Linked DNA regions of Rattus norvegicus. The main gene of each other region encodes a partner of the protein of the gene in region 4 in a complex. Links are inferred from orthologs where the notes say so. Each region holds a gene or a part of one and is shown on either strand. Other genes may lie near its edges.

The links.
Region 1: the proteins of Rela (region 4) and Kpna4 are in contact, whole or in part, in a crystal structure (PDB 7LF4), measured with the Homo sapiens proteins. The link is inferred for Rattus norvegicus from reciprocal best matches to the Homo sapiens genes RELA and KPNA4. Residues at the interface, in NP_068810.3 of Homo sapiens: Lys301, Arg302, Lys303, Arg304, Thr305, Tyr306, Glu307, Phe309; in NP_002259.1 of Homo sapiens: Lys231, Asp271, Arg306, Asn310, Val312, Thr313, Gly314, Thr315, Asp316, Thr319, Lys344, Glu345, Trp348, Ser351, Asn352, Ala355, Glu387, Trp390.
Region 2: the proteins of Rela (region 4) and Setd6 are in contact, whole or in part, in a crystal structure (PDB 3RC0), measured with the Homo sapiens proteins. The link is inferred for Rattus norvegicus from reciprocal best matches to the Homo sapiens genes RELA and SETD6. Residues at the interface, in NP_068810.3 of Homo sapiens: Glu307, Thr308, Phe309, Lys310, Ser311, Ile312; in NP_001153777.1 of Homo sapiens: Ser120, Trp122, Val220, Met221, Ala222, Tyr223, Ser224, Phe225, Gln226, Glu227, Pro228, Pro238, Asn239, Ser240, Pro241, Asn259, Leu260, Tyr262, Asn283, Thr284, Tyr285, Met288, Met296, Tyr297.
Region 3: the proteins of Rela (region 4) and Nfkbib are in contact, whole or in part, in a crystal structure (PDB 1K3Z), measured with the Mus musculus proteins. The link is inferred for Rattus norvegicus from reciprocal best matches to the Homo sapiens genes RELA and NFKBIB. Residues at the interface, in NP_033071.1 of Mus musculus: Lys218, Lys221, Ser240, Gln241, Ala242, Asp243, Val244, Arg246, Gln247, Asp294, Arg295, Arg297, Ile298, Lys301, Arg302, Arg304, Thr305, Tyr306, Thr308, Phe309, Ile312, Met313, Ser316, Pro317, Phe318, Gly320; in NP_001293151.1 of Mus musculus: Tyr53, Thr55, Glu56, Asp57, Asp59, Ala61, Leu64, Ala65, Ile67, His68, Gln69, His70, Pro72, Phe73, Phe76, Asn91, Leu93, Gln95, Leu100, Ile103, Leu104, Gly105, Arg125, Val137, Arg275, Leu283, Arg284, Asp306, Lys307, Leu308.
Region 5: the proteins of Rela (region 4) and Nfkbia are in contact, whole or in part, in a crystal structure (PDB 1NFI), measured with the Homo sapiens proteins. The link is inferred for Rattus norvegicus from reciprocal best matches to the Homo sapiens genes RELA and NFKBIA. Residues at the interface, in NP_068810.3 of Homo sapiens: Arg50, His181, Lys221, Ser238, Phe239, Ser240, Gln241, Ala242, Asp243, Arg246, Arg253, Asp294, Arg295, Ile298, Lys301, Arg302, Arg304, Thr305, Tyr306, Thr308, Phe309, Ile312; in NP_065390.1 of Homo sapiens: Thr71, Glu72, Asp73, Asp75, Phe77, Leu80, Ala81, Ile83, His84, Glu85, Glu86, Leu89, Leu110, Gln112, Leu117, Ile120, Thr121, Asn122, Phe142, Arg143, Leu150, Gln154, Arg218, Asp226, Leu227, Gln249, Tyr251, Gln255, Leu256, Trp258.

What each region holds. Positions count from the first base shown.
Region 1 is NC_086020.1:155,649,249-155,652,759, reverse strand, and holds part of Kpna4 (importin subunit alpha-3), read left to right. Parts: intron 1-1,028; coding exon 1,029-1,160; intron 1,161-3,511. UniProt on the Homo sapiens protein: Functions in nuclear protein import as an adapter protein for nuclear receptor KPNB1. Binds specifically and directly to substrates containing either a simple or bipartite NLS motif.
Region 2 is NC_086037.1:9,353,708-9,357,901, reverse strand, and holds the start of Setd6 (N-lysine methyltransferase SETD6), read left to right. Parts: upstream 1-1,386; 5' UTR 1,387-1,413; coding exon 1,414-1,750; intron 1,751-1,827; coding exon 1,828-1,969; intron 1,970-2,084; coding exon 2,085-2,279; intron 2,280-2,402; coding exon 2,403-2,523; intron 2,524-2,848; coding exon of another isoform or gene 2,849-2,920; intron 2,921-3,285; coding exon 3,286-3,466; intron 3,467-3,553; coding exon 3,554-3,696; intron 3,697-3,845; coding exon 3,846-4,151; 3' UTR 4,152-4,194. UniProt on the Homo sapiens protein: Protein-lysine N-methyltransferase. Monomethylates 'Lys-310' of the RELA subunit of NF-kappa-B complex, leading to down-regulation of NF-kappa-B transcription factor activity. Monomethylates 'Lys-8' of H2AZ (H2AZK8me1).
Region 3 is NC_086019.1:93,175,850-93,178,395, reverse strand, and holds part of Nfkbib (NF-kappa-B inhibitor beta), read left to right. Parts: intron 1-1,753; coding exon 1,754-1,859; intron 1,860-1,942; coding exon 1,943-2,276; intron 2,277-2,546. UniProt on the Homo sapiens protein: Inhibits NF-kappa-B by complexing with and trapping it in the cytoplasm.
Region 4 is NC_086019.1:212,353,061-212,357,139, forward strand, and holds the start of Rela (transcription factor p65), read left to right. Parts: upstream 1-1,275; 5' UTR 1,276-1,336; coding exon 1,337-1,343; intron 1,344-1,929; coding exon 1,930-1,956; intron 1,957-2,047; coding exon 2,048-2,199; intron 2,200-2,354; coding exon 2,355-2,503; intron 2,504-3,375; coding exon 3,376-3,467; intron 3,468-3,793; coding exon 3,794-3,925; intron 3,926-4,079. UniProt on the Homo sapiens protein: NF-kappa-B is a pleiotropic transcription factor present in almost all cell types and is the endpoint of a series of signal transduction events that are initiated by a vast array of stimuli related to many biological processes such as inflammation, immunity, differentiation, cell growth, tumorigenesis and apoptosis.
Region 5 is NC_086024.1:78,594,265-78,598,452, forward strand, and holds the start of Nfkbia (NF-kappa-B inhibitor alpha), read right to left. Parts: upstream 2,809-4,188; 5' UTR 2,690-2,808; coding exon 2,463-2,689; intron 1,954-2,462; coding exon 1,845-1,953; intron 1,514-1,844; coding exon 1,303-1,513; intron 1,033-1,302; coding exon 944-1,032; intron 851-943; coding exon 590-850; coding exon of another isoform or gene 503-589; exon of another isoform or gene 130-502; coding exon 82-129; 3' UTR 1-81. UniProt on the Homo sapiens protein: Inhibits the activity of dimeric NF-kappa-B/REL complexes by trapping REL (RELA/p65 and NFKB1/p50) dimers in the cytoplasm by masking their nuclear localization signals.

The DNA.
Region 1 (3,511 bases), on a different chromosome or scaffold from region 4:
GGCTTCACACTCTGTTCTTCCTTCCTTGTTTCCCGAGAGCAGTTATAGGCATGCACTACCATGCTCAACTGCTTTCTTAAATTTCTAAAGGAGCTATGCTGTGCTGTTCCCCCCCCCCTTTTTTTTTCTTTTTTTTTTTTTTCTTTTTTTTTTTTTTTGAGCTGGGGACCGAACCCAGGGCCTTGAGCTTGCTAGGCAAGTGCTGTACCGCTGAGCTAAATCCCCAACCCTGCTGTTTCCCTTTTACAGTCTCTTTAGTGTCTTAATCATAATATTGGTTAGGAATTGAAAAGGTTTTAAACTTCTTTTTTTTGATACAGAGTTCAAAGGGTTTTGGAGTTCCAGATATAGTTGCTATTCCTGAGGGAGTTTTTTTTATAAACAATTGTGTTATTTATATATCACCTTTTACTGTCTTTTTACCCTACTGTCCTTTGGCCATGGTTTGAAGTAGGGTTTAGAATACAAAGAAGGATCAAACACATGACTCGCATTATTATAAATTAATCAAAACCCCTCTTCCCCCATAGTAGCAGTGATATGAAGTAATTATTTTTTCAGGAGTTACTGTTTTTTATATATTTCTTACCTTGATCTTTATCTGTGGTTGGTTGGTTGGTTTTCTATTTAATATGCTGTATAGTTTGCATGTGTAGTTTGCTGAATTAGGATTAGATACTGATAAGGGACTTGGACTATAACTTACACATCTTAAACACAGCTATAGAATAGAGATTGATGTTCTCTAGTGAGTTGAAGGAAGAAGAGAAAGATCTCATGTTATGGTTAAGAATTATTAAAATTGCCGAATATGGTAGCTCATGTCTTTAATCCCAGCATTCAGAAGGCAGAGGCAGGTAGATCTCTATGTTTGGGGCCAGCCTGGTCTACAGAGCAAGTTCCACGACAACTAGAGCTGCACACAGAAACCCTGTTTCAAAATCCTATGCCCCTCCCCAAGAAAAATCAAAAGGAAATATTACAACGAGAAAATATTGAAATACTTGAACTTTTCTTTTACTTATTAGATACTGGTAGATACTGTCTGGGCCCTATCTTACCTTACGGATGCTGGCAATGAGCAGATACAGATGGTAATAGACTCTGGAATAGTTCCTCATTTGGTTCCGCTACTCAGCCACCAGGAAGTTAAAGTTCAGGTAGGTTTATTTTGATTAAATTGGGTTTTTCTCACCATGCTTTAAGCATGGCATTCAAAGATGAACAGTTTTGTTTTTTTTTTTTTTTAATTAAAGCATACTATTCACCTAACAATGTAATGTGTCCTTGATGGGAAAAGGTGAGTTATTTTAGTTTTAAAGGTGGAGAAATCGAGATAAAACTACTGTAGTTTATTAAGAACTGCCCTTCCCTACCAGACAGGGAGACACTACTGTGAAGAACTGATTTTCAATACCAAGAAGTATAATTAGTGTAGCACCTTGGGTGGCATCTGAAACCATTCTTGTTTTCTTTTTCCGTTCCTTCGCCCCCACTCAGTTGTGCAGCACTTGCCTCACTTGTACGAAGTTCAGCCTCTACTGTACCACATCCACATAAGCGTACTTGGCACGTGCATGCACACTCAAACACAGTGATGGTCAAACTGCAGGGCTAAAGCAGAACCAGAAAGCCTTCCCTGCATTTTTTAAGGTAAAAGTGGTCTTTAATCCTAGAATGATCTAAAGTCAACTGAGCAGTTGTATTAAGGAAAGCTATAGCCTAAGTTACCTTTCTTGCCCTTTGCTGGACGTTAGAATCAACAATGAAGCTTAAAGGGAATAAAAGAAAAAAAGGCCCAGTTCAGATCCTCAGCACCTACATAAAAGCTGATGTGGCAATTTGTGCCTGTAAGCCCAGGACTGAGGTGGCACAGGGGGATCCTGGTAGTTCAGTTACTCCAAGCTCAGTGAGAGACCATGCCTCAAAATAATAATTATATAAAAGGAAAACAACAGAGGAAAACACATGATTTCAAGCTCATTATACATGTGTATGCAAACTAAAGAAAAAGTCCCCCTTTAATCTCAGCACTTGGGAGGCAGAGGAGGATGGATCTCTTCAGTTCAAGGCCAGCCTGGTCTTCAGAGTTCCAGTATAGCTAGGACTATACAGAGGAACCCTGTATCAAAAATCAAAAAAATAGAAACGGCTAATTTAGAAAGATTTGACCAATGCTAGTTATTTAAATGTATGATTTATTGTAAATATCTTTGTTACATGTTTATTATTAAATTTGCATCTTTTGTGTATATGTATGATTTATGTACACACACACACACACACACACACACACACACACACACACGCAGCAAGTATGCACCCAGAAGCCAGAAGAGGACACTGGGTGTGCTGTCAGCATCCCCACTATACTAGGGATACAAGTGGACACATGAACTTGACTGGCTCTTTAACAAGGTTTCTGAGGATTTGATTTAGCAAGAACTCTGATCTGCTGAGCAAAACCCAAATTTACAAGTGATAAGTTTGCTATTTTTATTTTTGTTGGTTTTACTTTGTTTTTACTTTACCCAGGATCTGGTAGTACAGTCCCATGATCCCAGCACTTTCAAAATGGAGATAGAAGGAAGATCACACAGCTAGCCTGAGCTACATGAAACTGCGCGCATGCATGCACACACGCACATATGTGCCTACACACACACCAGAACTCAAACACTACTTTAGTTGTATTGCACACACACACCAAAAACTCACACAGTACTTCCTTAGTCTTAATACTGGCCTTAGAATTATGGCTTTTAGTATAGGGCTAGGAGTTGTCTTTGAGGCAGTCTTCAGAGAAAGTTAATGCTCTGTACTTTATCAGTAACAGATGTTTTCTTAAGCTTCTCATGTCGTGTAGGCTTAATCTGTATCCCTACTCCCCCTAAAATTTAGACATAATTATTATCTCGTTTGGCATATTATTTCATTTATCTGACTTCTTCAAAAATTAAGACGTTTTAAAAACCTAGGATGGGGGAAATGGCTCAGCAACTAAGAATACTAACTGCTCTCCCAGACAGCCCAGATTTGACTCTGAGCACTCTTGTGGTAGCTCTCAGTTGTTTGTAGCTCCAGTTCAAGGGAATCCAATCCTTCCTTCTGGCTTCCTCAGGTACAAGGCATGCATGTGGTACACAGACCTGCATGCAGGCAGAAAACCTAACACATTAAAAAAATAAATACCAAAACAAAGAACAAAAAAGTGGCTAAAAGATTTGCAATTTTCTAAGAAAGACATAAAAATGGTCAATGAGCACCTGAAAAAAGATGCCCCAAAACTGTAGTTATTAAGGAAATGTGAGTTGAACTAGACAACTGTTCACATTGAGAATGACTACAATTAAAAGACAGCAATGTGGACAAAGAAGGGTCACATTGCTATGGCAGCATTAGAGTATACAGTCCTTAAAAGTGAGACACAGAGTACTGTGTGACAATATTCCTCCTGTTCTGTGCATTCAAGATTGTGGAGATACACTGGTCCACTCAGAAATCTTAATAC
Region 2 (4,194 bases), on a different chromosome or scaffold from region 4:
CCATTTCCAGACTGCTCTGAAGTCCAGTGGAGTGTATCCTATCCCTGGTTCTGTTCACTCACGTGCTTCCGTGAATACCGAGTGTGACTGTTTAAAGCTGGCAGAATTAATCCCTTACTGTAGATAGCACTTCAAGTATTGGACATCTTTTTGCTGTGTTCTTAAGATATCTATAAATACCTATACATTATATATATATGTATGTATATCGGGTCCTTCTGTATGTGGTTTCCCATTGATGGTTGTCTTCTCTTTGGTCAGGATGAACTTTTAATGGAGTTCATTACTTCCCTCTCTGTACAAAGTTAAGAGCCTAATTTTGTGTATTCTGGTGGCTGATAAGAGACTTTGAGATTACAAAATGCAAAACAAAAATCCTTATTGATATAGAAAGATATCTGTGCAGAAAAACTAATAAAGAAATTAAGCGTATGTGTGCCGTGCTTTCTATCACAGGGGAGGTTGCCTTAGATTCAGACAGGTGGAGGATAGTAAACATCTGTGTGTACCTCTACACCGTCAGTGCCTGGTCTGCACGTTTGTGGTGGGGGAGGGCTGAGTAGCCTCATTCTGTAGACAAAGCTGGTCTTGAATACTCAGCAGTTCTACTTCAGCGTCCTGGGTCCTTTGTTTTTTGTTTTTTTTCCTTTTGGGGTGATAGAGATTGAATCAGGGCGTTCACACACAATGGGCAAGGTTCTACCAAGTATATGGCACAGGCTATATACTCTGAGATATAGTTTTATCAATCATGACACTAACTCTTTTACAGCTGGGCAGAAAGCTTAGCCAGTGAGACCTCTTCAAAGCAAGGGCACGCCCCTTTTCGTTTGCTTGTCTTTAGTTGCTTTGAGACATGGTCTCACTCCGTAGCCTAGGCTTTCAAGGAACTCCCCATAATTTCCCTGTTTCTGGCTCCCAAGTACTGGAATTAAACTGCCAAGTTCCCCATGTTACCATTTGTACCACCATTCATTCACTTAACACTGACTACTTCCGATGTATCAGCAATTAAAAAAAAAAAACACGTAAGATTCTATCTTATGCAGAAGATGAAAAACAAGGGTAAATTGGCAACTGTGAATGTGTGTGTCTGCCAGATGTGGAAACTCTTCAGACCACTTCAAACCCAGGTGTAAATGGACTAATCGAAGGAAATAGACGGTTATTACCAGTGGTCGGTCACTACGGCACATTAGCCCAGCTCCATGGAGGAAGAAACCGGATTTTGCCCTTGCACCCTGCTCTCGGGGTCGCGCCCAGAACTCGGGTGCAGACAGCACAGAACCAGCCGGTGAGGTCGCGCACGCGCGATTCCCAAGCTGGAGCCGTTTAGAAGGGACACCGAGCTCCGCCCCGTCCGCTCGCGTTCCGCGGCGCCGGAAGCGCCGTGAGGACGCGGCTGCTCGCAGCATGGCTGCCCCGGCGAAGCGCGCGCGGGTAAGCGACGCATCCCCCCTCGCTGCGCCCTGCCCTGTCCCAAGAGCTGCCGCCCGCGTGCCCCTGCCGCTCCCGGCGGGGCCCAGCGGCCACGAGCCCGAGAGTGACGCAGTGGCCGGCTTCCTGCGCTGGTGCACGCGAGTGGGGCTGGAGCTGAGTCCCAAGGTGCTGGTGAGCCGGCAGGGCACGGTGGCCGGCTACGGCATGGTGGCGCGGGAGAGCGTGCAGCCCGGGGAGCTGCTGTTCGCAGTGCCGCGGTCCGCGCTCCTGTCTCCCCACACCTGTTCCATCAGCGACCTGCTCGAGCGAGGTGAGTAAGGGGCAGGGGACTGGCTCTGAGGCTGGCAAGGGAGTCGCGCTTGGACGTTCACCCGCTGTCTTCCCTAGAGCGAGGCGCGCTGCAGAGTCTGTCCGGGTGGGTGCCGCTGCTGCTGGCGCTGCTCCACGAGCTGCAGGCCCCCGCCTCACCCTGGAGCCCCTACTTCGCGCTCTGGCCAGAGCTGGGGCGATTGGAGCATCCCATGTTTTGGTGAGAGTCGAAGGTGAAGGGCCGGGAAGAACCTGTTTCCTTTGCTCTGGGCACCGGGCACCTGCTGCATGGGAGCTGCAGGCTGTGACGGGCCCTGGGTGGGCTGTTCTTGCAGGCCGGAGGAAGAGCGGTTGCGCCTCCTAAAGGGTACAGGTGTCCCAGAGGCCGTGGAGAAGGATTTGGTGAACATCCGTAGCGAATACTATTCCATCGTCCTGCCCTTCATGGAGGCTCACTCCGATCTCTTCAGCCCCACTGTTCGCTCCCTGGAGCTCTATCGCCAGCTCGTGGCTCTTGTCATGGCTTATAGGTAGGTCAGTGATTAAAGCCTAGAGGAGCAGCCCCTCATCTTTGAGGGGGAAGGTGGAAAAGAACAGTTAACTCCAGGCCCCTCACCCAAGACTGGGCCTTAGCTGAGTTCTCTCTGCGGCAGCTTTCAAGAACCGCTGGAGGAGGAGGAGGATGAAAAGGAGCCCAACTCCCCGTTGATGGTGCCCGCTGCAGACATTCTAAACCACATAGCCAATCATAATGCCAACCTAGAGTACTCTGCAGTGAGTGGACCCCCATCCCTGGTCAGGTTGTGTGCATTACAAGTGAAATCACTTGGCTCCAGTTTCCTCCTCCTGTGTACTTTTGGTATGAGACGGTGCGGACACACCCTAAGTTCACCAGAATAGCTGCCTGCTTTGCCAAATCACCTCAGGCCCTGTCCTGGAAAGGCACTTCAGTACTGTTCAAGAGGTGGGATGTTCATGGGCCAGAGGCACAGTAAGCCCCACTTTAGTATCGGTTCTGTATGGAAAATTGAGAAGGTACAGGCACATGCGATGGAGAAATGGGCAAATGTCAGCCTAATGGCTTACACCTGTGTCCTAGGAAGCTGAGGGAGGACCGAAGATGTCAGGCCCAAACTCCCAGGAATCTATACACGCCACTTTGTTCTCCAGTGTAAGCAGATGTGACTTTCACTTATTCTTCACCTCCATTCTACGGTGACTTTAAGTTTAACTTACGTTTTTGAGACATGGTCTTACTATATAGCCCTGGCTAGTGCAGGACTCTTAAGGTTGCCTCCTGAGCGCCAGGTGAGTCACCCGGCCTAGGCTTGTTTAAAGCTGGTGTAGGTAACTAGGCAGGTACACCTGGAATCCTAAACCCAACATACCAACCTCTCAAGTTGGTCTCCCCGCTTCAGTAATGCAGGGCTTAACTTAGCCTCAGCCCACAGTTCAACAGTCTCTTCCAAGGGGAAAGGGGCCTTCATAGGCTGGTGGGGCCGAAGCTGTGGTCCCAGCTTTATCATTTTAACCCAGGAATATCTCCGAATGGTGGCTACTCAACCCATTCTCAAAGGTCACGAAATCTTCAACACATATGGGCAAATGGCTAACTGGCAGCTGATTCACATGTATGGTTTCGCCGAGCCCTACCCTAACAACACAGATGACACAGCGGACATTCAGATGGTGGCAGTCCGCGAAGCTGCACTGCAGGGTGCGTGTGCCCACTCCAGGTTCTGGGGGCCTCTCTGGCGAGCCAGCTTGCTGGAGTTGATGTCCGCTCACTTCCATTACTTTACAGGAACAGAGGATGAAACCGAGAGGCTGCTCCTATGTGAACGCTGGGATTTCCTGTGCAAACAGGAGCTGGTAGGGGAAGAGGGAGCCTTTGTGATAGGTCGTGAGGAGGTGCTGACTGAAGAGGAGCTAGCCACCACACTTAAGGTACAGGGCTAACAGGGTGTGGGTGCTGGCATTTAGACTAACACAAAGGGGACCTAATTTCCCTACAGTGGTCTGGCTGTCTTCCCTACAGTGGTATGGAAGTCACAGATGGGAGCACATCCCATCTCAAGGGCCCGTGTTCCCTCTAGGTACTGTGCATGCCTGCTGAGGAGTTCAGAGACTACAAAGAGCGGGCTGGATGGGGAGAGGAAGAGACTGAAGATGGCAGTCTGGCAATCACAAATATCCCCAAGCTCCAAGAATCGTGGAAACGGCTTCTTCGAGACAGTGTTCTGTTGACCCTACAGACCTATGCCACAGACTTAAAAACTGAGCAGGATTTACTCAGTAACAAGGAGGTCTATGCCAAGCTGAGCTGGCGGGAGCAGCAAGCCTTGCAGGTCCGCTATGGTCAGAAGATGATCTTGCATCGGTTGCTAGAACTCACAAGTTAAGCAGGTATCCTGAGAACCCTTTAAGTTCCTGTTCTATTGCTTG
Region 3 (2,546 bases), about 120 Mb from region 4:
GTTGCTGGGAATTGAACTCAAGACCTCTGGAAGAGCAATCAGTGCTCTTAACTGCTGAGCCATCCCTCCTACCCTAGCCTTAAACTCTTGGCCTTCCTGCCTGGGATTCCAGGCAAGGTGGTGCAAGGCTGGTTTCTGCAGAGTTGGGGTTGAGCCTTATGTGTGCTAAGCTAGCACTCCCAAGTAAGCCACTGCCTAGCTCACCTTTCTTCTTTTCTTTTTTTTTGTTTTTTGTTTTTTCTTTTTCTTTTTTTCGGAGCTGGGGACCGAACCCAGGGCCTTGTGCTTGCTAGGCAAGCGCTCTACTACTGAGCTAAATCCCCAACCCACCTTTCTTCTTTTCTAATGTGCTCGGAATGCTGTACATATTTCCTCTGGAGAACTTCTGATAGACTGTGTTTTGTTTTTAGCATAATTGAGTATATTTTTTAATTTCTCTTTTGATTTCTCCTTCAGCCAGTAGGTAATAAAGAAGTACATTCATTTTCCACACTTGGAGGACTTTCCAGACCTCTTTCTGTCACCGGCTTTAAATTTCATTTCACTGAGGGCAGAGAACATGCTTTGTCTGATTTGCGGTCTCTGGTTTTTTTCTAGCGGTGCTGGCCATCAAACCCAGGGCCTCCTGAGTGTTAGGCAAGGGCTCTCAGGAACTGTGTCCCACAGATTTCATTCTGATGATGCGTGACTTAGAGGTAATGTTGGTTAGCAGTGTTGTTCAAAGCTGGGTGTGTAATTCCAGCCACAAAGAAGACGGAGACAGGAGGAGTTCAAGGTTAGGGCCTGCCTAGGAAGAGAGTAAATTCAAGGCCAGCCTGGGGACATTCATAGCAAGGCCCTGTTTCACAATAAAGGGAACCAACAGGAGGAAACTCGGTGGCACAGAGCTTCCCTGCATGCCCGCTACCTTAGATTCAGTCCACACAACTGCAGAGTCAAGGCGGCCGCTCCTGAAGAACGGTGCCTTTCAAGTTGACTCTGTTCCTGTTTTTCTGTTTATTCAAACAGTTGGTGACAGAGACCTATTGAGATCACCAGTCTATGGATCCATCTGTTGCTACTTCTCCTTGTTATTAGATCTGTGTGCATGTATGTGTGTGTGTGCGTGTGTGTGTGTGTGTGTGTGTGTGTGGTATGAGTGATGTGTGTGTATATATGGTGTGTGTGTGTGCGTGGTGTGTGTGTGTTGTGTGTGTGGTGTATGTGATGTGTGTGTGTATATGGTGTGTGTGGTGTGTATGTGTGGTGTATGTGTCTGTGTGTGTGTGGTGTGTTTCTGTGTCTATGTGTTTCTGTGTGTGTGTGTGTGTGTGTGTGTGTGTGTGTGTGTGTGATAGAATCTCATTATTTAGCATTTAACACTGCTGGTTTAGAACTCACCATGTAGTTCAGTCTGGCCTTGAACTAACAATCCTCCTACTTTAGTTTTCCCACGTACTAGCATTAGAGCTATTACACCTGATTATATTACTCAGTAAATACTGGTGAAACAAAGTCGGTAGCTGGGGCCTATTTGCACAGGCTTGTCAACCTTGCCACTCAGGAAGCTGAGGCAGGAGGGACTTGAACTCAAGGTCAGTGTGGGCAACTTATGAAGACCATCTTATCTCAGAACACCAACCCCGTCAGACAAAGTTTCTGGATTACCTTCTGCCCCCTGACTCTCCCAAACACTGAAATGTTTCCAACTGTGGCCACAGTTTGCAGCACATAGAAGACACTCTGTGTTACTGACCTTTGCCTTTGTCCCCAGAGCCCTGCACTTGGCCGTGATACATCAGCACGAGCCCTTCCTGGATTTCCTCCTGGGCTTCTCTGCCGGCACTGAGTACCTGGACTTGCAGAACGACCTAGGCCAAGTGAGCCACTGGGGATGTTTGCTGTAGGGAGCCGGGTCCAGCATTGTCAGTGTGGCCCTAACCCCTTCCCTCTATCCCTGTAGACAGCCCTGCACCTAGCAGCCATCCTTGGAGAGGCATCTACAGTAGAGAAACTCTATGCAGCTGGCGCAGGAGTGTTGGTGACTGAGAGAGGGGGCCACACAGCACTGCACTTGGCCTGCCGTGTGAGGGCACACACGTGTGCATATGTACTGCTTCAGCCCCGTCCCAGCCACCCAAGAGATGCCTCAGATACCTACCTCACTCAGAGCCAGGACCACACCCCAGACACCAGCCATGCCCCTGTTGCCACGGACCCCCAACCCAACCCAGGGAACGAAGAGGAGCTGCGTGATGAAGATTGGAGGCTGCAGCTAGAAGCTGAAAACTATGATGGTGAGGGCCCCGGGCCCCAGGGAGGATGTGAGCTCCTGGCTCCTCTCGCCCAGCCTGAGATGCAGCTGATGCCCTTGGACATAGCTCAGTTGGTGGGGTGCTCATCTGGCATATGTAAAGCCCTAGGTTCGATCCCCAGCGTAAACAGTATGGTGGTGTATGCCTATAATACCCTGTGTTGGGAACAAGAGGAGGAATTTAAGGTCATCCTGGTGCTACTTAGCTAGCTTGAGGCCAGGCTAGGTTACAGGAGACTGAAACAGATACCTA
Region 4 (4,079 bases):
ATGTTCATATTAATTAAATTGCAACTATATGTCAGTTTTTAAAAGTGGTTCGTGCGAGGATCAATGATGGCTGTGTGCCATTAATCGGAGACCATAATTCATTCTGTCACCTTGATGTCCGCCCCCGCAAAACATTAAACTGCTTTTTCTAATCTGCGCCAAGTGAGAAACTGAAATGAGTGGGAGGGGCGGTAACTATTTTCACTTTTGTCTTCCTGTTTTTTTCAGAGCCTGGGAAAGAAGTCAGAATTTCCAATCTTTTCCAATTCCCACATGATTTCCTAATTTAGAGAAAATAAGTCTTTCTCCATGTGCTAAAGCCTCCTCTGCCCCCCACCCCGCCTCCTCCTTCTGGCATTGTGGAGGGAGCCTGATGTGTTGATTCCTCCAGCCAGTGTCCCCAGACTCAATCTGCACACCCGCCCTTGGCTTAGATGGCAATTTTCTCTCCCTACAAAAGCTTTCATCACTGGAGCTCAGGCTCCTGGGAGGCCTTCAAGGAGATGCTCAAGTGGTGTGACCCTGGCTAGCTCCGGAGATCCCTAGGGATCTGAACCTTAGCAGACAGGACCTATCTGTGGAGGCGAAGCCCTGGAGCTCTTCCAGCATTCATTGCTCTCAGGGACTCTTAGAGGTACAGGTGTCTACCTCGGTCCCCTCTACACCAAGGCCTCAGTCAAGCCTTGATGAAGCATGCTTTGGGAAGCACTCCTGCGCGCAGCCGGATCTAGGTTGGGAGCATATGGCCTGTAACGCGCGGCGGTCCCCAGAAGGCCCTGCACGAGTAGGAAAACGTGTGGAATTCAGTCACTGTGCTCCGCGGAAGCAGCAGGCCTGAGCCTCTCCTTGTGCAGGGCGAATGGCCGCAGCCTGCCAGCAGCCCGGGCTCTGCTCCAGACCAGGCCAGGGTGACATCACCAAACTCTTGAGATCAGAGCGGGGCGGGGAACGGGACCCGAAATCCCCTAAAAACAGAGTGAGTAATCGCGGGCCCGCCCTCCAGGCGGGGCCCGGACACGGAGCGAACCGCGCTGCGTAGTCCGGGAGCGGCTTGCAGTCGGGCGGGCCTCAGGACGAATAGCCTCGGCGTCCTACCGCCGCGCTCCGGTGTCCCCGCCCGCGCGCCGCACACCTTCCGCGCCCAGCGTGAGTTGCGCACCTGCTCTCGGCCCCCACGCGCGTCGGTGGCGGCGGCGCAGCGCGCAGGCGCGGCCGGATTCCGGGCAGTGACGCGACGACGGGCGCGCGCCGCGCATTTCCGCCTCTGGCGAATGGCTTCGCTTTAGCGCGCCGTGGGCTCAGCTGCGACCCCGGCCCCGCCCCCGGGACCCTGGCCATGGACGGTGAGGCTGCCCTCTGGCCCGCGGGACGGCTGCCCTAGAGTTCCGGGACCTGCGGCGGGATCCCCCTCGCGCCGTCTTCCGCCCCTTTCTGCGCCGCGGGTTGCTGCGCAGGGAGCGGCAGGCCGGATGGTGGCACGGGGCGGGGCGGGCTGCGAGGGGTCTGACTCAGTTGCCCCTCTCAGTGGAGGGCGCCTTGACTCAATGTCCCTCCTGGGTGGGAGTACGGGTGAATCTTGACTCAGTTTCCTCCGGCTTCCCCCCCCCACCCACTGTGTCGATGCGATTAGTTCTGGCTTCCTTTCCGTGTAAGGGAGAAAGTATCTGACTCAGTATCCCCCGAAAAGGAGAGGGGGTAGAACCCTTCCTCAGTGTCACTTATGAACGTAAAACAGGCTCTGACTCAGTTTCCCCGGGCAAAGGAATACCTCTGTGCCCCTTTTCTCTAGTAGAGAGATGCTTTTGCCTTCTTTACCTGGCCTCTTTCAGGGCAGGTCTTAGGATCTTGGCTCAGTTTCCTTTGGAGGCATTCCCTGGTGAGGGTGGGTACTGGAGTTTATTGACAGTGTGCCTTGTCTTTCCCTTTCAGATCTGTTTCCCCTCATCTTTCCCTCAGGTAAGTGGACCATCCTTCCTCAGTAGGTAGGGGCTGTCCTGGAGTAGGGGCCATGGGGGCAGCACCTAATGGCTGACCGTATCACCCACAGAGCCAGCCCAGGCTTCTGGGCCATATGTGGAGATCATTGAGCAGCCCAAGCAGCGGGGCATGCGTTTCCGTTACAAGTGCGAGGGCCGCTCTGCAGGCAGTATTCCTGGGGAGAGAAGCACAGATACCACTAAGACGCACCCCACCATCAAGGTAAGCAAGAGCCCCCAGGGGTGTCGGGGTGGGGACACAGATGTGGTGGAAGGCACTGTGGAGCCCCAGCAGACTTGCCTCCTTGCCACCGCGCCCCGTGTCTAGGAGCCAGATTTGGGATTGCTGGCCTCTAAAGTACTCTGTACTTTGGACAGATCAATGGCTACACGGGACCAGGAACAGTTCGAATCTCCCTGGTCACCAAAGACCCACCTCACCGGCCTCATCCACATGAACTTGTGGGGAAGGACTGCCGGGATGGCTTCTATGAGGCTGAACTCTGCCCAGACCGATGCATCCACAGGTGAGTCTGAATAGATAGGCTGGGGGTAGTGTGAGGTCAGGGTAGGTAGGGGGCAGGGTAAGAGCAGGCTGGGCCAGGCAGCTGTTACAAAGTTACACTTTTCTAAACACTGGCAGAATCCAGAGTCCTTGCTCTGTCCCCAGGTCTGCAAACAGACCCCCTTTGTCTTAAATTCGCTAACAGATGGGAACTCTTTATCTTGGAGCGACAGATCCTTTATGACTGGATAGCCCAGTCCCTTAGGCTCTTGTATCAGAAAGTCCGTAATGGACTCTCCTAGAGCTTAAATACCAGTTGGTAAAACCAGGGGACAGTTGTACAAACAGATAGAAAAGATACTAGTGGAGAATTATAATTTCCATGATGAAAAGAAAACACAGTAATAAATTAGAAGGAGGAGGAGGCTGGTCTCGTGGCATAGGGACAGAGTCTCATATAGCTGAAGCTGGCCTTGCACTCATGAGGGTTCACCTACCTCCTCTTCTCAACTCCAAGGGTAATAGGCGCGTAGCACCATGTCCTGTTACGTAGGTCTCATGACTTTGGGTTGGAAGATTGCAGAAGGCCTCTGTGCTAACACTCAAATGGTGAGAAAAAGCAGACAAGCCCAAAAGAACATTGCATGCACAAGAAAGAAGTATGGTGACCTGGAAAAGGGACTAAGTTTAGTGTGCTCAGGGACGGGACAGGAAGGCCCTGTGGCTGAGGCTAGGACACTGACTTGGGGGCTGGTGTGGGCCAGGTCCCTCAGAGACTCGCCAGTGGGTAAGGAGTGGGTTCATTGTAGCACAGTGGGAAGCCTTGAGCTGTGAGCTGAGGAGTGGGAAGAGGGTGTTCTTTTGGAGACACAGAACTAATGCCTGAGGCCTCAGCTTCCAGAACCTGGGGATCCAGTGTGTGAAGAAGCGAGACCTGGAGCAAGCCATTAGCCAGCGCATCCAGACCAACAATAACCCCTTTCAAGGTAGGAGCAAGGGGCAGGACATAGCCTGCCTGTGGTGCACATTCTGCCACCTTCCCTGGGCCTCTGGCGCTCCTCACCCTCCATGACCAACCCAACAGTACAAGTGGAACCTCGCTGCCAGCATGGTACACACTCACATGCTACCGTTGAGAGTCAGGCCTAGAAAGGGGTGGTGTATTCAGGTCCCAGTAGAGCCGTGATGGGTCTAGGATTTTGTCTTCCTCCCCTTAGACTTCTGTTTTATATATCCTCAAATCACCTTCCTCTTCCCTCAGAGCTCCCTGCCCTCCCCATGCCTTCCACCACTTTTTTTTTTTTTTTGACAGTTCCCATAGAGGAGCAGCGCGGGGACTATGACTTGAATGCGGTCCGCCTCTGCTTCCAGGTGACAGTGCGGGACCCATCAGGCAGGCCCCTCCGCCTGACCCCTGTCCTCTCGCATCCGATTTTTGATAACCGTAAGTGGCCAGCTGCAGTAAGGGGAGAGGGTGGGCTTGGGAAGAGAATGGGGCTGGGGTGGGTGTGGCCTTGCTGCAGGGGGCAGGGCAGAGAAGACCCAGAGCTGCCTCTGTGGGAAGCTTGCAGGATGCCCTGGAGTTGGATGGGAAGTGA
Region 5 (4,188 bases), on a different chromosome or scaffold from region 4:
TCTTTTTCTTTTTTTTTTTTAGAAAAATAAAACTCTATTTGTACAAATATACAAGTCCACGTTCCTTTGGCCACTTTCCTCTTATAACGTCAGACGCTGGCCTCCAAACACACAGTCATCGTAGGGCAACTGGAACAAGAGAGGGAAAAAGGCACATTAGATTCCTAGAACTTCGCCAAGCCATTGGGATGGCGGGAGAGCTGCTTCTACAAATAACTCCCATTCCTGGACTCTCTCCTCCTCAGCCTAAACAGAACGCAGGCGCCGGGCTGCAGGAGTTCCCTTCACCAATTCTCTCCTTTCAAAAGTCTAAGCTATTGCAGGGGACATAGCTCAATGGTAGAACATGTGCCTATTACCACGTGTTAAAGCCTGGGTTCAATTCCCACAACTCCCTCTTACTGCCCCATTCCGAAACCCACAAGGGTAAGCTATTAAAGCAAACCAGAGACACGTTCTTGGGATCCTGGCTTTGCAAGCTGAGACTGAGAAGTTGAATAACTCAGGTCCCTATGATACAGAACAGCTCTAGAACAGACCTAGGTGTGGTGAGGGAGAATGGACCACTCTGGCAGTAATGAACACGCACCTCATCTTCCGTGAATTCTGACTCCGTGTCATAGCTCTCCTCATCCTCACTCTCGGGCAGCGTCTGAAGATTTTCCAGGGTCAGCTGGCCCAGCTGCTGCTGTATCCGGGTACTTGGGCGGCCCCACGTAAGCTGGTAGGGGGAGTAGCCCTGGTAGGTTACTCTGTTGACATCAGCCCCACACTTCAACAGGAGCGAGACCAGGTCAGGATTCTGCAGGTCCACTGCAAGGTGGAGGGCTGTCCGGCCATTACAGGGCTCCTGAAACCAAAGGCAATCAGAAGTGTTTATCTGGAAATCTGCTCACAGTAAGAGCCAGCCCAGCAGAGTTTAGGAGGAAGGGGAAGTACTCACCTGAGCGTTGACATCAGCACCCAAAGTCACCAAGTGCTCCACGATGCCCAGGTAGCCATGGATAGAGGCTAAGTGTAGACACGTGTGGCCTGCAGGATATAAGACGGAACTGTAACCACTTGTTTCAATCCTCACACAAGTCACGTCTCCTTTCTTGGGGACAACCACAAACAACCTCAATTTTGAAGAACTCAAAAGTCTGGGTTCTCAGTGAACGTCATGTAGGAATCATGGAGAAGACTTTTTAAAAGTCCACACTGCCTGAACTTCTTATACGTTGAGGCGTTTTAGCTCCAGGCTAGACTCAAGGGGACCCGTCTCTCCCTTCTCTGCGTCCCTGGATGGACTGGCAGACCTACCGTTGTAGTTGGTGGCCTGCAGGACGGAGTGGAGATGCTGGGGCGTACAGGTCTGAGTCAAGACTGCTACACTGGCCAGGCAGCCCTGCTCACAGGCAAGATGGAGAGGGGTATTTCCTCGAAAGTCTCGGAGCTCAGGATCACAGCCAGCTTTCAGAAGTGCCTCAGCAATTCCTGGCTGGTTGGTGATCACAGCCAAGTGGAGTGGAGTCTACGAATGGAAGAGGAAACAGAAAGAGCCTAAGCCATGGAGCAAACCCATAGTCTTGAGTTTCCTGAACCCCAGACACCTCCTATTACAGAATCCCCTCCTCCCATTTGTCTACAGGAGATCAGGCAAACAGGAGGCCCTACGTGGGTCATAAAGACCTCAACCAACCCTTGGGATTTTCCTTCTTGCTCTAAGACTTTGGCTAATTTGAATGTAAAAGGCCAGGGCAGATAAGGACCGTGACTGTTAATTTAGAAACGCTTTGGGGGCGACTGAGCTTCATCTAACTCCACCACGGGGTCAAAGAGGGCACAGCTGGGCAAGCCCGCACCTGCTGCAGGTTGTTCTGGAAGTTGAGGAAGGCCAGGTCTCCCTTCACCTGACCAATCACTTCCATGGTCAGTGTCTTCTCTTCATGGATGATTGCCAAGTGCAGGAACCTGCGGGATGACAGGGAAACCCCCCAGGGGTGGTGAGCGCACTGCGTGGGGCCCCCGAGAGGCGCGGGCTGCGGGGGATTGCGCAAGGCCGGGGTTTCTGGAGGCCGCGGCCGCGGTGTTTTCCGCGAGGTTATTATGAGCTGAGTGTTCCTGGCAGCCGCCCAGGGACTTTCCGTGCCCCACCCCCTCCGGGCGGGCGCCGGCCAGACCGGCCCGCCCTCCGCCGCCCGGAACGCCCTGTACTTCCCCTCGCGGCCGCGCAGCGCCCGGCGGCTGCGCGGAAACTCTGCCAGGCGGGGACTTTGCGTCCTCGTTGCCGCCCCGCCCCCGGCCTGCGCTCGGCTACTCCGGGTCCCGGGAAATGGGGTGGGGGGATGGGGAGGCAGGCGGCCCGGCGCCCGCAGCTCTGTAGCCCCGTAGCCCCGCAGCCCCGCCGTGCAGAGCCCCGAGCGCGGTGCAGGCCCCGCGCGACCCCGCCCGTGCCCATGCCCGAGCCCGCCGCCACTTACGAGTCTCCGTCCTCCGTGAGCTGTTGCTTCCAGGGCTCGGCAGCCAGAGGCGCCTCCTGCGGCTGCAGGCGGATCTCCCGCAGCTCCTTCACCATCTGCTCGTAATCCTCGTCCTTCATGGAGTCCAAGCCGCTGTCGTGGCGGTCGTCCACCAACCGCTCCTTCTTGAGGCCGTCCCGCGGGCCCTCCATGGCCCAGTCCTGGCCGTGCCCAGCTGGCTGAAACATGGCTGTGCGGAGCTGAGCGGGTGCAGGGTGCAGGCTGCTGGCAGTTGGGTGGCGAGTTCAGACTGTTGTGGGCTCGGCAGCGCCGCCTCGGCGCCCTATAAACGCTGGCAGGGGATTTCTCAGGGGCGGGGTCAGGCGCGGGGAATTTCCAAGCCAGTCAGACTAGAAAAAGAACTGGCTCGTCCTCGACTGAGAAGCCTAAACCCAGGGCCGGGGTTCATCAGAGAAACTCCCTACGATGAGCCACTGGGGTCATGTACAGGGAACTTTTTGATGAGCCCTGAGTGGCTGGAAAGTCCTCCCGACCAGGCCCCCTCCCTCTAGGTACTTCCCTGCAGCCTGCACTCAGTAACCCCAGCGTTCTACAAGAGCCCTTCTTTCCCTGGGGTTTCCCACCGACGACTTTGGTTTGGGGTCCCAAGCTGCTGAGATTCCAAGGACGCAAACCTGCTAGGCTGTTCCTCTTAGAGATTTGCCAATTTGCAGGTCCTTTCCGGTTCTTGATCTTTTGAAAACCCAAGAGTGGAAATGGCTGGCTGGGTGCAGGGATTCGCTTCTCCTAAATTTCTGCGACGACGGACGTATGAGTGATTCCGGGTCGTCTGTGTTTCAGGCTCTTTGCAGTGCATGGACATTTGGCTGCCCTTCACCATCCCCCCTCGAAGCTGTAGACACTTTGGCATTCAAACAAACAAAACCAATAACAACAACAACAAAATCCAAGCGCCTGGAGAACCCCTAGATTAATTCCGAGGGGTCAATAATCTCGCCCGGGGGAGGGGCAGCGGGGGAGGGGCAAAGTCTAGCTCCATATGGGAACCACATTTTCCCCCAAGTAATGCAAGGTGTTAATCTTTGTAGAAGTTGTAGCTTCCATGCAACAGAAACTGTTGAGTTCTTGCTGTTGGAGTTAACTTGTTAACTTGTAGAGAATAAAGCCGGAGCTTATTGTGAATGCCTAGCAGAACAACTGGTTTAGTGCCCTAGCCTCTTAAACATAGCTAAGAAAGTAACTTTGAAGCATCCTGCAGGAGGCTCAACATAGTCCTAACACTGACCACATCTGAAACCTGCTGGTTCTACTAGCTTCCTTGCTTCCCAGGGACCGCAGCATTGTGGGTGGCTACTCCTCAAGAAAGGGATTTGGGCCTGTGATCCCCTAGTTTTACCTGCAAAAGTAGAAGTGTTGCTTCCACCCCATCCCGACTTAGGAGCCTGCAAGTGTGAGGTAACTCGGGAAAATTAAAGCAACTTGGATCACAGTTTGTCAGAATAGACCCAGTAGGCTTCCTGTTCTGCATAGATTTCTGGTGAAATTTGAGTGATCTTTTTCTTGTTGAGCCTTGTAGCAACTCTCCTCTCTTCGTAATTCCACTGCCTCCCCCACAGTATGAAAGTGAGGACACTGGGGGAAAAGATTCAAAGTCCAGGAAAAAACAAAAACTTCCAGACAACAACGTCACGTTAAAGTTAAGACTTCCTCAGCAAATCCTCTTCAT